Linked DNA regions of Arabidopsis thaliana. The main gene of each other region encodes a partner of the protein of the gene in region 2 in a complex. Each region holds a gene or a part of one and is shown on either strand. Other genes may lie near its edges. A codon is read from its position in the direction of its gene.

Region 1 (4,737 bases), on a different chromosome or scaffold from region 2:
TTTCCTGTGAAAAACGACGTGCAGTTTCATATAGATACTTTTAAACTACATACTGTTTCTTGTAGAAAACCGACTTTTATTTCCCTGGCCCAAAGGCCTGTCATGGGTCCATTGAACTAACACGCAATGTGGATCATAACTATTCACTAGCCTACGTGGCCTTTTTCGAATTAAATTATGTCTTAAAATCTTGTGTTATTTGATCTTTTTGTAAATCATGATTAAAGGAGATTTTACAATTTGGTATTATTAAATTAAGATTAATTTCTTAAAAAAAACAAAGGTTACTCAAAATTACATATCTTAGAAATATTTGTATACTAAGTCTTTTTAAATAAATTTCAAAAGAATTTCATGAACAAATTATTAGAAACAAAGTTTAAAGTATACTGCAAATATACTCCACACACATGAATTTTTAAAAGTAATATCAGATTTGAAATATTGAAGATTGTAAAACGTACGATTAACTTTATATCCAAGATTAAGTGGTCAATTTGTTTTACGTTTTTAGATATGTTTGATATATTTCAAATGCACCTTTGGAGTTTGGACCATACGCATATTGTTTGATAATTTGATACACATAGTTAAACGTATTAAATATCCTCTATTTTTGAAAGTCAAGAAAAACAAAGAGAACATTTAAAGATTATAACATGTACATTTGAGATAGTTATCTTCTTGTTAAGAGTTAAAAACTCCTTAAGCTAAAGACTTCTCTATCCGAGGAAGGAAGAGGGTGTGATTACTTCATTTACTACTTTGCTTTCATTCCTTTTTCCCTATCTACACTTTTATGTTCTCTATAAAAGTATCTCACAAGGATTTTCATGATTAATGCCTATCTTTGGGACTTCTAAAACCGTTTAAATTCTCTAACTTCTCCAAGTATGAGAGCTTTTTCGGCGTAAGGTTTGGAGATTTAGTAGGTTTATCGCCTCCTTTGGAACTATTATCATTCCAACCCATAAAATCCAACAAGGTCTTGGAGTGTGGGTCATGCTTCTCGGCTTCTTCTCCCGAGTTAGAAGATCCCGCTGACTCGGAATCCGTCTCTGTTGTTCTCCCACCATCTGATGTTTCTTCAGCCAATAAAGTTTGCTTTAGTGCCAATGTATCTGTGTAAAGAACATCTTCTATCCTTGACATCACTGTGTAAGCCAAGCTCTCAAGTATCCTAGAGTAACTTTCCAACACCGCTTGCCCAACGTCCTGTATCCATTGATAAAAGATCAGTTTTCTTATAACCAAAACAAAAATGAGTTGTTTCTTGCCATTCAAGGCATCTACAATATATGAGAGCTTATCATTATGATTGATTTACCTTGTTAAACTGAATCTTGGAGATGTCAAGGGAAGATTGAGGAAGACCGGGAAATTTTTGTTTGAGCAAGACCAAGATTGTTTCTGCTCTCTCTTCGAACAATTCTCTCTTCTCCAAGCTAACTGCTGAGCCCCACGAAGATTTGGTGTCCTTTGTGTGAAGCTTCCTCTTCCAAATCACAACAGATGCCTCAATTCTGTTCTTCAAATCCAACACTTTGTGCTCTGTCGACATGTCCAACATCGCTAAGAACTGCTCAGGATCAAACCATTCCTCTGTTATGCTCTTGTATATCGAATCCCCGAGGCTGGCTCTTCCGTTCTGTCAATAAAAATCAAATCTTAAGAGCCAAACATAGAATAACAAAAGATAGAAATTGAATAAAAACGTGACATTGATTTACCTTTGGGAGAGAGTCGATGTAGCTCTCAGGTATTTCCATTTCTGAGAGGACTTGAGCATTGATGGCCATTGCAGCTTTTTGAACTTGTGTGACTGAATCTTTTTGGAAGTAAAGCATTCTCCGAGATGGTTCTGATAAACCTCCAGGAGGAACTTTAACCGGTGGTAGCCACCACTTGTCGTTTGTCCGATCATTCCTTGCTTGCTGCCCTTCTTCTGAATCTCTTGAGACATACCAAAACTCGTTGTGTCCTCTGAAATTGTCCAATGTATCCTGAACATGTTATCATTACCATTAATCCACCAAACGCTAGATATAAGCCGGATTCAATACAGATTGAATGGAGAGACTTACGATGAGCATGGCGTCAAGTTTTCGAAGAGCTGGAATGTTCATAAGAAGATCACCTCTTTGTCTTGTCACCATAATCTACAAAAAAATGGTTAACATTGTAACTTATTCTAAAGAGGTCGCAAAAATGATATTTTCTTTTCTTTGGGAAACTCAAACCTCAGTGCAAACTCCATCTTTGCTTGTTTGTTGAGAAGGAACAAACTCGACAATGTGATCGGTCACGGATAATAACCAATCAATCTCTTTCTTCCATCTCGCTTGTCTATCTTGCGGCATCGGTTGTAGCTTTGTTTGTTCTCCGAATATAGACGCTGCAAATCATCATACCACCAACACAAGATTTAGAAACCAAAACCCTCATACTTACTTGCGAAAGAAGAAACTTAAAAAGTATAAAAAGAAGATTACCAGCAAGATTTGTGATGGCATTGGAAAGAGCCAGAGCAGAAGATACGCCTTTCCCACCACCGGACATATCTTCTCCAAGAAGCAATTTAGCGAACCTGTCTTTCATCATCTCCATATCTGCAATACTTTATGTGATTATTAGGTTTTTTTTGAAGGATATAAGTTATTGGAAAAGGAAAGAAGATACACACCTGCTTGTTGTCTCTCAGATCTTTTTCCTGGCCGAGTAAGAGGGGAAATCATTGGAAGGCTGCTCTCTACGGGGCTTTCTACGAAGCTGTCGGAGTTTTGGCTTTCAGGCGTGTTGGATTCGACAATATGAGAATCTCCGTTCTCCACGACAATAGTTTGAGATTGTTGTTGTTTCGTCGAAGATGAATCAAACATTCTTTTAAAGTTGAATGATTTGGAAGCGCTTAGTCCTCGTTCCAACGCTGCAACCATGGTACGACAACGTTCGCTTGTTTTCTTGCCCCGCAAGTTAAAGCCCTTTATTCCTTTAAAATCCAGTTGATCTAAAGATGATACAACTCTAAGATTTTTGTTAAAAGCATAAAAAGAACAAAAAAAAAACCTCTTTTATTTGGAAAATGAAACAAAATTCTTAAGAACAAACGTTTGTTTTCGATTTTAAGGACTAAATGCATTTCAAATATAAAAATAGTAAATCAAAATTTAGGAAGTTAGCTATTTCCATGATTGGTTATCTTCTCTTTTGTGTTAGAAATAAATTGATGGTTTGTGATAAAAGTGACGTTCCACGAAGTACGGAAAAGACAATAAAACTCCAAACTGATTCAACTTTCTTATGGGAGATCTACCATTCATCAAATAGAGTATTTAGCTATCCTTATGTCTTGCATTTTTCTTGTTCTGCTTTTGAGTGTTTAGAATTTACTTAAGTTTTGGTTTATTTGGCTTTGAAATCAACCACTGTGCAATTGATTCATTGGTTACATTTCCATGTTTATGTACTATGGAATGTCTTCTTCACCACTAGAGCTACATAATTCACCAGAGAAAGACATAAAACTTGTCAGATATCAAAGTTTATATGACAAGTTTAGTTTTCAAATCACCAAAATATGTTTTTGATCTTGTCAAGTAATAAAGAAGCCATTGACCAGGCTTGTTCAAAACAATATAACATGAATAATAAACAAACAAGGCAATGTAAGAAATTACTAGTAATCTCCTCCTTTTCTTTTGCCTCCTGCTGTAGGATTCCTGCATGTACTAGACCTTAAGTATTGGATCTGCACCGAACTTGGAACATAAGAGAACATTTCTCCGAAATCCGTTACTTTGAAGAACATATTCTCTCTTACCACGAAAGATATCTCGAAGAGATGATTGACACCATATGTACCACAACAAATGCTGCTTTTTCTCTTTATCAATGAAGAAACTGCAAACTTCAAACACAGATAGAAAGTACGTAACAACCAAACACAAGTGGAATTTCAACTTTAAAGAATTTGCTCCACGACACTGCATTTGGCTCAATCTTAGTTGTAATCCATGTCTCCATCACACATCTATCCAAACACCTGCCCAAAAACACCTCAAGCTACTCTTCTCTAACACAATATGAAATCACATAACTATTGGAATCAAACGGCAGATGCAGACGTGATCCAAATCTCTATGTTGTAAAATAAAAAAAATAAAAAAAATCGTCGCCTTTACGATCAACAAAGTAAGTATTTCTCTTCAAAGAAACGCCTCTTTTTAAACGTTATATAAGAATTATAAGTAATGTCAAGAACCCTCCACGAACTAGACTTGAAGAATTAGACTTAAAATCATAGATTTCATGCCTTATATTTTGTGGTTGTTCTTGTTGTCGTATCCTATAGCATACCAATCTGATTCATGATAATTATTTTTGGGTTTGATCCATCTGGTTTGCACTAGCTTACCAACATATGGGTTCCATACCACCAGCCTCGAGGAATCCTTGGTGACTAATAACAATAAGCCGTGACAATGATAGACTAGCTTAGATATTTGAACTCGACAGACCATTTCACCTATCTCCTTTATAGATGAAAAGTCTTTGATGCTATGGAGACTGAATCTAGTTTGTGAAATATCAGTCAAAAAAGAATATTCACAAGTCATGGTTACCAGAAACTCCTTGGTAGATTTACCACAATGCTTCTTTGTAAAGCTCTCATCTTTAAATAGTGTGTTACATCGTTTGCAAGCGCATCCAATAGCTCTTCCAGAAATTCTCGAAGTC
Region 2 (4,725 bases):
TGTGTTATGGTATAGGTATGCTAGCTTTTGAAATCTTTTCTGAAACAGCTGAGTTTTTGCAAGGAAATGGTACCATTTTTTAACATTGAACGTAAGAGCCCTTGAGTTCTATTTTTCCCAGAAGATAGATTACTTAAAGGACAAGATCCAGCCTCAAAGTAAGACGGGTAATTAAGGTATTATAAGTGCATAAGTATATTTTGCTCAGGTTATACATTGGACATATATAAGAACTGGAGCATGAACGTCACATTTGTTTATGTCTTACTCATGTAGAAAGAGTGTAAGGAGTTTCAAGTGAGGATTAATACAATTTTCTTATCAATAAATTGAATCCACATTTTTTTAGCCAAAATTTTAAACTTGAAATTTTATTTTTCAAAGACGAAAATCTCATATTATTGATTCAAACTTGTATCCATAATTTTTTCATCAAAAAACATTACTCTTTAATTTTTTTTGCTAAAAACTAGAATTCGCAAATTGTCACCAAAAAGCGTGATTCCACAATTTATGGGGAAAAAATATCAATCCTCAATTTTCTTGCCAAATTACTACTATTTTACAAATTTCTCCCGAATAATGGTAACATGATTCGACAATACTCTCGCCAATAACGTGATGAAGCAAAGTCCACTATTTCAAGTAGAAAATATTCAAAAAAATATCAAAATACAAGTATATATAAATGTTTGTTATTTATTGAAATCTGTTCAGATATTATAGGAAAAAGCATATTCTTGATCTCTTAGTCTTCAATGGTTTTATCTTTTTCTTTGCCTTTGGTGGCCTCAAAGCTACCCTTATCGCTGTATCAAACACTGCCTTCACATTCTATTAAACATTCACAAACAAAAAACTTTTTCAGTTTATTTAATTTAACTTCATTAAGTATTTCAATTTACTATATATATATATATATATATATATATATATATTTGTGGATTCAAATTATTAGTATGAAAATTTTGGCAAAAAAACATTTGGAGCTGCACTCTAAGTACCTAAATACATGTTGAATTTACTCTAAGTACCTGTTGGGTTTTGGAGCTGCACTCTAAGTACCTAACAGCTCCAATCATTTTCCTTAATTCTTCTCCCTGTTACTCAAATCCATTCATAATTGTTTATGAATTTATTTTTGTATAGATTATTTTTTAAAGATTTGTGTATGGTACCTGAGCAGTTGTTATAGAAGCTGCTCCTGGATGATCCTTCAAGAACTGCTTGTCATCCCTCAAATCTATATTCATTTTTGTGTAACATTATTGTTTTGAATAAAAAGATATTATCAATAACACAAGAGATACCATAAATCAAATGGAGAAATGTATTAGCTTTTTCAATATAAGTTGTTGAATAAATGTTAAATTGGGCCACTATTCATGATGCCATTAACGATCCAAGTGGCTATATCTTCCTACATTTGAACATTTTTCTGCTATTAGATGAAAATCTAACTGTTTTTATACAACTATCGAATTTGAAAATGTTATTCTTTTTTCACATGTTTTTCATTAAAACTGTAGCATAACAGAACAAATAATATAATTTACTGGCCTGAATTAATTAGGTAATTTTTCAAAATACATTTACTATAGGTGTTATTTTCTAAATAACATATTATTTAGTGATATCTCAATATTATTCAGAGTGAAAGAGAGTGTATTACTATTTGACGAAAAAGTAGCTTCTTGTAGAATTTTTTTCTTTCTTTTGCAAATGAAAAACGTATGATCTGCGGATTATTACTCAAGACCATATCTAATTTGACACAAATGTTGATAAATTAAGTTTCTTTATGAACTCATAAGGGGAAAGTTTTCGTTACCTAATTTTGTTCCGACGAGCACAATGGGGATGCCAGGAGCATAATGTTTCAGCTCCGGAAGCCACTATTAATCACCAGATTAATTAATCAGTCAGTGTCAACAAATTTTTCTAGAAATACTTTATCATATAATCATAGTTTCTTATCTATAAAAAAAAACGGATGGAAAAACTTTTAAAGTTACCTTTTTGTGAATATTCTCGTAACTGGCCTTGCTTATAAGGGAAAATGCTAATAAGAAGACATCTGCTCCTCTGTAACTCAAAGGCCTAAGCCTATTATAATCTTCCTGACCTGTAATTCCACAATAATAACTTTTATCGTAACTAGCATTCATTAATAATCAGTTTTAGTATAATCAAGTAATCATACGGCGTACCGGCAGTATCCCACAGGCCAAGGTTCACGGTACTCCCGTCGACCACCACATTTGCGCTGAAGTTGTCGAAAACTGTTGGAACATAATCCTGTAAATTAGATAGTTAAATCATTTATATATCAAAAAACATACATTAAACCATGTTTCTTAAGTAAACAGATAGCAAAAATCCAGAAGCATGGGTTTGAATTCAGCTTTAGATATATTTCACGTTAATGATTCTAGGAAAAATATGCTTAAACGGATATGGAAATATAAACGCAAAAGATGAAACTAGGCTCTTATTAATTTGCCATGAACAACGTTTAAAATGAGCAAAGATCTCAGGAGCCTAACATAAATATCTTAAAACATCAATTTGAAAATATATCTGGATATATATCAAGTTTGCTAAGAAATTAAAAGTTACCGTAGGAAACGTATTGCTGGTATATGAAATGAGCATACAAGTCTTTCCCACTGCTCCATCTCCGACAGTCACACACTTAATGAATCTTGCTGTGCTCATTTTCTTTGCTTTTGTCTTCAATTTCTTTTATTTTTTTATGTTTATGAATTTTGTGAATGTGTTTGGGTTTTATGTTCAGAAGAGAAGAGAAGTGGTGGAAGGTTCTTAAGAAGCTTTTGTGATGATTATAGTTGTTTATTGGTAAGGAGGATGTCTCTGTTACAACTTTCATTGATCATTATTAGTTGCTTATTCGTAAGGGAAGGAAATTTGAAGCAAACATACTGAAACAAATACCAAATTAAAGAACTGGTTTTGTATATCATCATATATAATAAACCGAGTAAACCAAACAACTCCTCACTGAAACAATTGAATTATAATCTTCTTAAATAAATACAAATATTAAAATCATGTATTGAAAATAGTTAAATTTTATTATTACATGTACTCACTAATTTGTATTTCTTTCCAAATTTGATCTGACTTTTCTAACCAGGTCCAAAGCAAAATGATATTTAGCAGAATCGAAACAAATTTTACCAAAAAGCTGAAATATTGTTCACCTTTTGCCTTTCATATATTGGTTTGATATTTTTAGTTTAATTAAATTAATGAGTTAAAATGATTAGGAATTGAGTATTTCTTTAACTTCAAGTGCAAGATCATGCGGTCACCGAAAGTGATGTAGCCGTTTGGTGTTGGTTGTGAGTGGGTTTTTAAGTGTTGGAGAAGGAACTCTCATCTTACTTTCTCTAGTGTTTTTACATTTTCTTATAAAATCTTTTTCTTCAATATTTTATGTTTTGCCTTATTTGATTCATTTTAACAACATTCAATAATGACATGAATTGGCTTACATATTACGATTTTTTTAGTGTGTTCAAAAATACAATTTCCATCTGTCTTCTTCGTCACCTCACAGTTTTTTTGACGTCATCCAACACTTTTGTTTTACGTTATCCAACAATTTTCTTTTAAAGAGTATTATGCATGAAACTCTCATGCAGATATACGATGATTTATAATACTTTCTGAAATATGAATGATCAAACATTCATGGCGAATCCAAAAATACTTTTTTGGGACGTAAATAAAGTTTTTCTTCGAGGGGAATATATAAATAAAGGCAAATTTTTTAACTCAAATACAAATTACACTATTTATCAAAAACTGAATCAATGTATGTCCCCATATATAATGTTGATATTTACTTTCTTTAAAACCTTATTATAACATTTTTTATTATTATTATAATAACGTAGCTACTGTTACCTGAGTTTATAGAAGTACAGTTTGGTGCTTCAAGTAGTATCATACGTAAATCACTTCAAATATAAGTTACCAGTAAATTAGAGGTTATACTGCGTAGAGCAAAAGTTTAGGAGCACTAATGTAGTGAAAGTCTTTCTTTCCTAACAATTGAATTTGTGTGTCTCTTCCTCATTATGCATTTTTTATATAAAATTTTCCATTGATTTAAAATAGAGCATAATATTAATAATATTGTACTGTTCATACATTTTAAAATGGGATAAATGAAAAAATAGTCAATTTTTCAAACATATTTAGAAAACTAGTTATTTTACTATTCACAATTTGCAAAGTAGTCACTTTTCACTGTTTGATTTGTACATTTAAATTTGTACAACACTTTTAGTATACAGATGTAAGTGTACGCTGTGTATATCTATATACATATGTATACTAAAAGTATTGTACAAATCTAAATGTACAAATCAAACAGTGAAAAGTGACTTTTTTATAAATTGTGACTAGTAAAATGACTAATTTTCTAAATATGTTCTGAAAACTGACTAGTTTGCTAATTCAGGTCGATAATAGATAAAAACTTATCAAAATAAGCCCACTAAAAGCCTCAACTTGAACCTAGAAGTATCCAAAGAAGAAGAGCCCAATAAGCCTCAAGTATCTCATCTTGAGATGTAACTTGTAAGAGCAATCATCGACTTCTCCTTGATAGATCAGATTAACAAAAGGAAAATTAGAGTTGAACCATTCACTGAGCTAGCTGATTATAAGATCAGAGTGACGAGACTCTAGCTT

Evidence for each region. Proteins that work in one complex are often made in the same cells at the same time.
Region 1: the proteins of RAC2 (region 2) and ROPGEF8 are in contact, whole or in part, in a crystal structure (PDB 2WBL), measured with the Arabidopsis thaliana proteins. Residues at the interface, in NP_199409.1 of Arabidopsis thaliana: Phe6 (codon at 2,703), Asp14 (codon at 2,679), Gly15 (codon at 2,676), Ala16 (codon at 2,673), Val17 (codon at 2,670), Pro37 (codon at 2,289), Thr38 (codon at 2,286), Val39 (codon at 2,283), Phe40 (codon at 2,280), Asp41 (codon at 2,277), Asn42 (codon at 2,274), Phe43 (codon at 2,271), Ser44 (codon at 2,268), Ala45 (codon at 2,265), Asn46 (codon at 2,262), Asn55 (codon at 2,235), Trp59 (codon at 2,223), Asp60 (codon at 2,220), Ala62 (codon at 2,214), Gly63 (codon at 2,211), Glu65 (codon at 2,120), Asp66 (codon at 2,117), Tyr67 (codon at 2,114), Asn68 (codon at 2,111), Arg69 (codon at 2,108), Leu70 (codon at 2,105), Arg71 (codon at 2,102), Pro72 (codon at 2,099), Leu73 (codon at 2,096), Arg76 (codon at 2,087); in NP_189105.1 of Arabidopsis thaliana: Lys95 (codon at 2,580), Glu100 (codon at 2,565), Asp101 (codon at 2,562), Met102 (codon at 2,559), Ser103 (codon at 2,556), Lys107 (codon at 2,544), Leu113 (codon at 2,526), Asn117 (codon at 2,514), Ala118 (codon at 2,511), Thr120 (codon at 2,505), Asn121 (codon at 2,502), Leu122 (codon at 2,499), Ala124 (codon at 2,493), Ser125 (codon at 2,393), Glu129 (codon at 2,381), Arg143 (codon at 2,339), Arg217 (codon at 1,955), Asp218 (codon at 1,952), Ser219 (codon at 1,949), Glu220 (codon at 1,946), Lys233 (codon at 1,907), Trp234 (codon at 1,904), Trp235 (codon at 1,901), Gln265 (codon at 1,811), Met269 (codon at 1,799), His325 (codon at 1,549), Leu328 (codon at 1,540), Asp329 (codon at 1,537), Gly383 (codon at 1,375), Leu384 (codon at 1,372).

The regions. Positions count from the first base shown.
Region 1 is NC_003074.8:8,979,858-8,984,594, forward strand, and holds ROPGEF8 (RHO guanyl-nucleotide exchange factor 8), read right to left. Parts: upstream 3,047-4,737; 5' UTR 2,937-3,046; coding exon 2,684-2,936; intron 2,610-2,683; coding exon 2,493-2,609; intron 2,396-2,492; coding exon 2,241-2,395; intron 2,160-2,240; coding exon 2,085-2,159; intron 2,004-2,084; coding exon 1,731-2,003; intron 1,649-1,730; coding exon 1,328-1,648; intron 1,216-1,327; coding exon 838-1,215; 3' UTR 543-837; downstream 1-542. UniProt on the Arabidopsis thaliana protein: Guanine-nucleotide exchange factor (GEF) that acts as an activator of Rop (Rho of plants) GTPases by promoting the exchange of GDP for GTP. Active as homodimer.
Region 2 is NC_003076.8:18,641,754-18,646,478, reverse strand, and holds RAC2 (RAC-like 2), read right to left. Parts: upstream 2,940-4,725; 5' UTR 2,719-2,939; coding exon 2,620-2,718; intron 2,299-2,619; coding exon 2,211-2,298; intron 2,126-2,210; coding exon 2,016-2,125; intron 1,896-2,015; coding exon 1,832-1,895; intron 1,244-1,831; coding exon 1,179-1,243; intron 1,101-1,178; coding exon 1,035-1,100; intron 835-1,034; coding exon 721-834; 3' UTR 503-720; downstream 1-502. UniProt on the Arabidopsis thaliana protein: Inactive GDP-bound Rho GTPases reside in the cytosol, are found in a complex with Rho GDP-dissociation inhibitors (Rho GDIs), and are released from the GDI protein in order to translocate to membranes upon activation.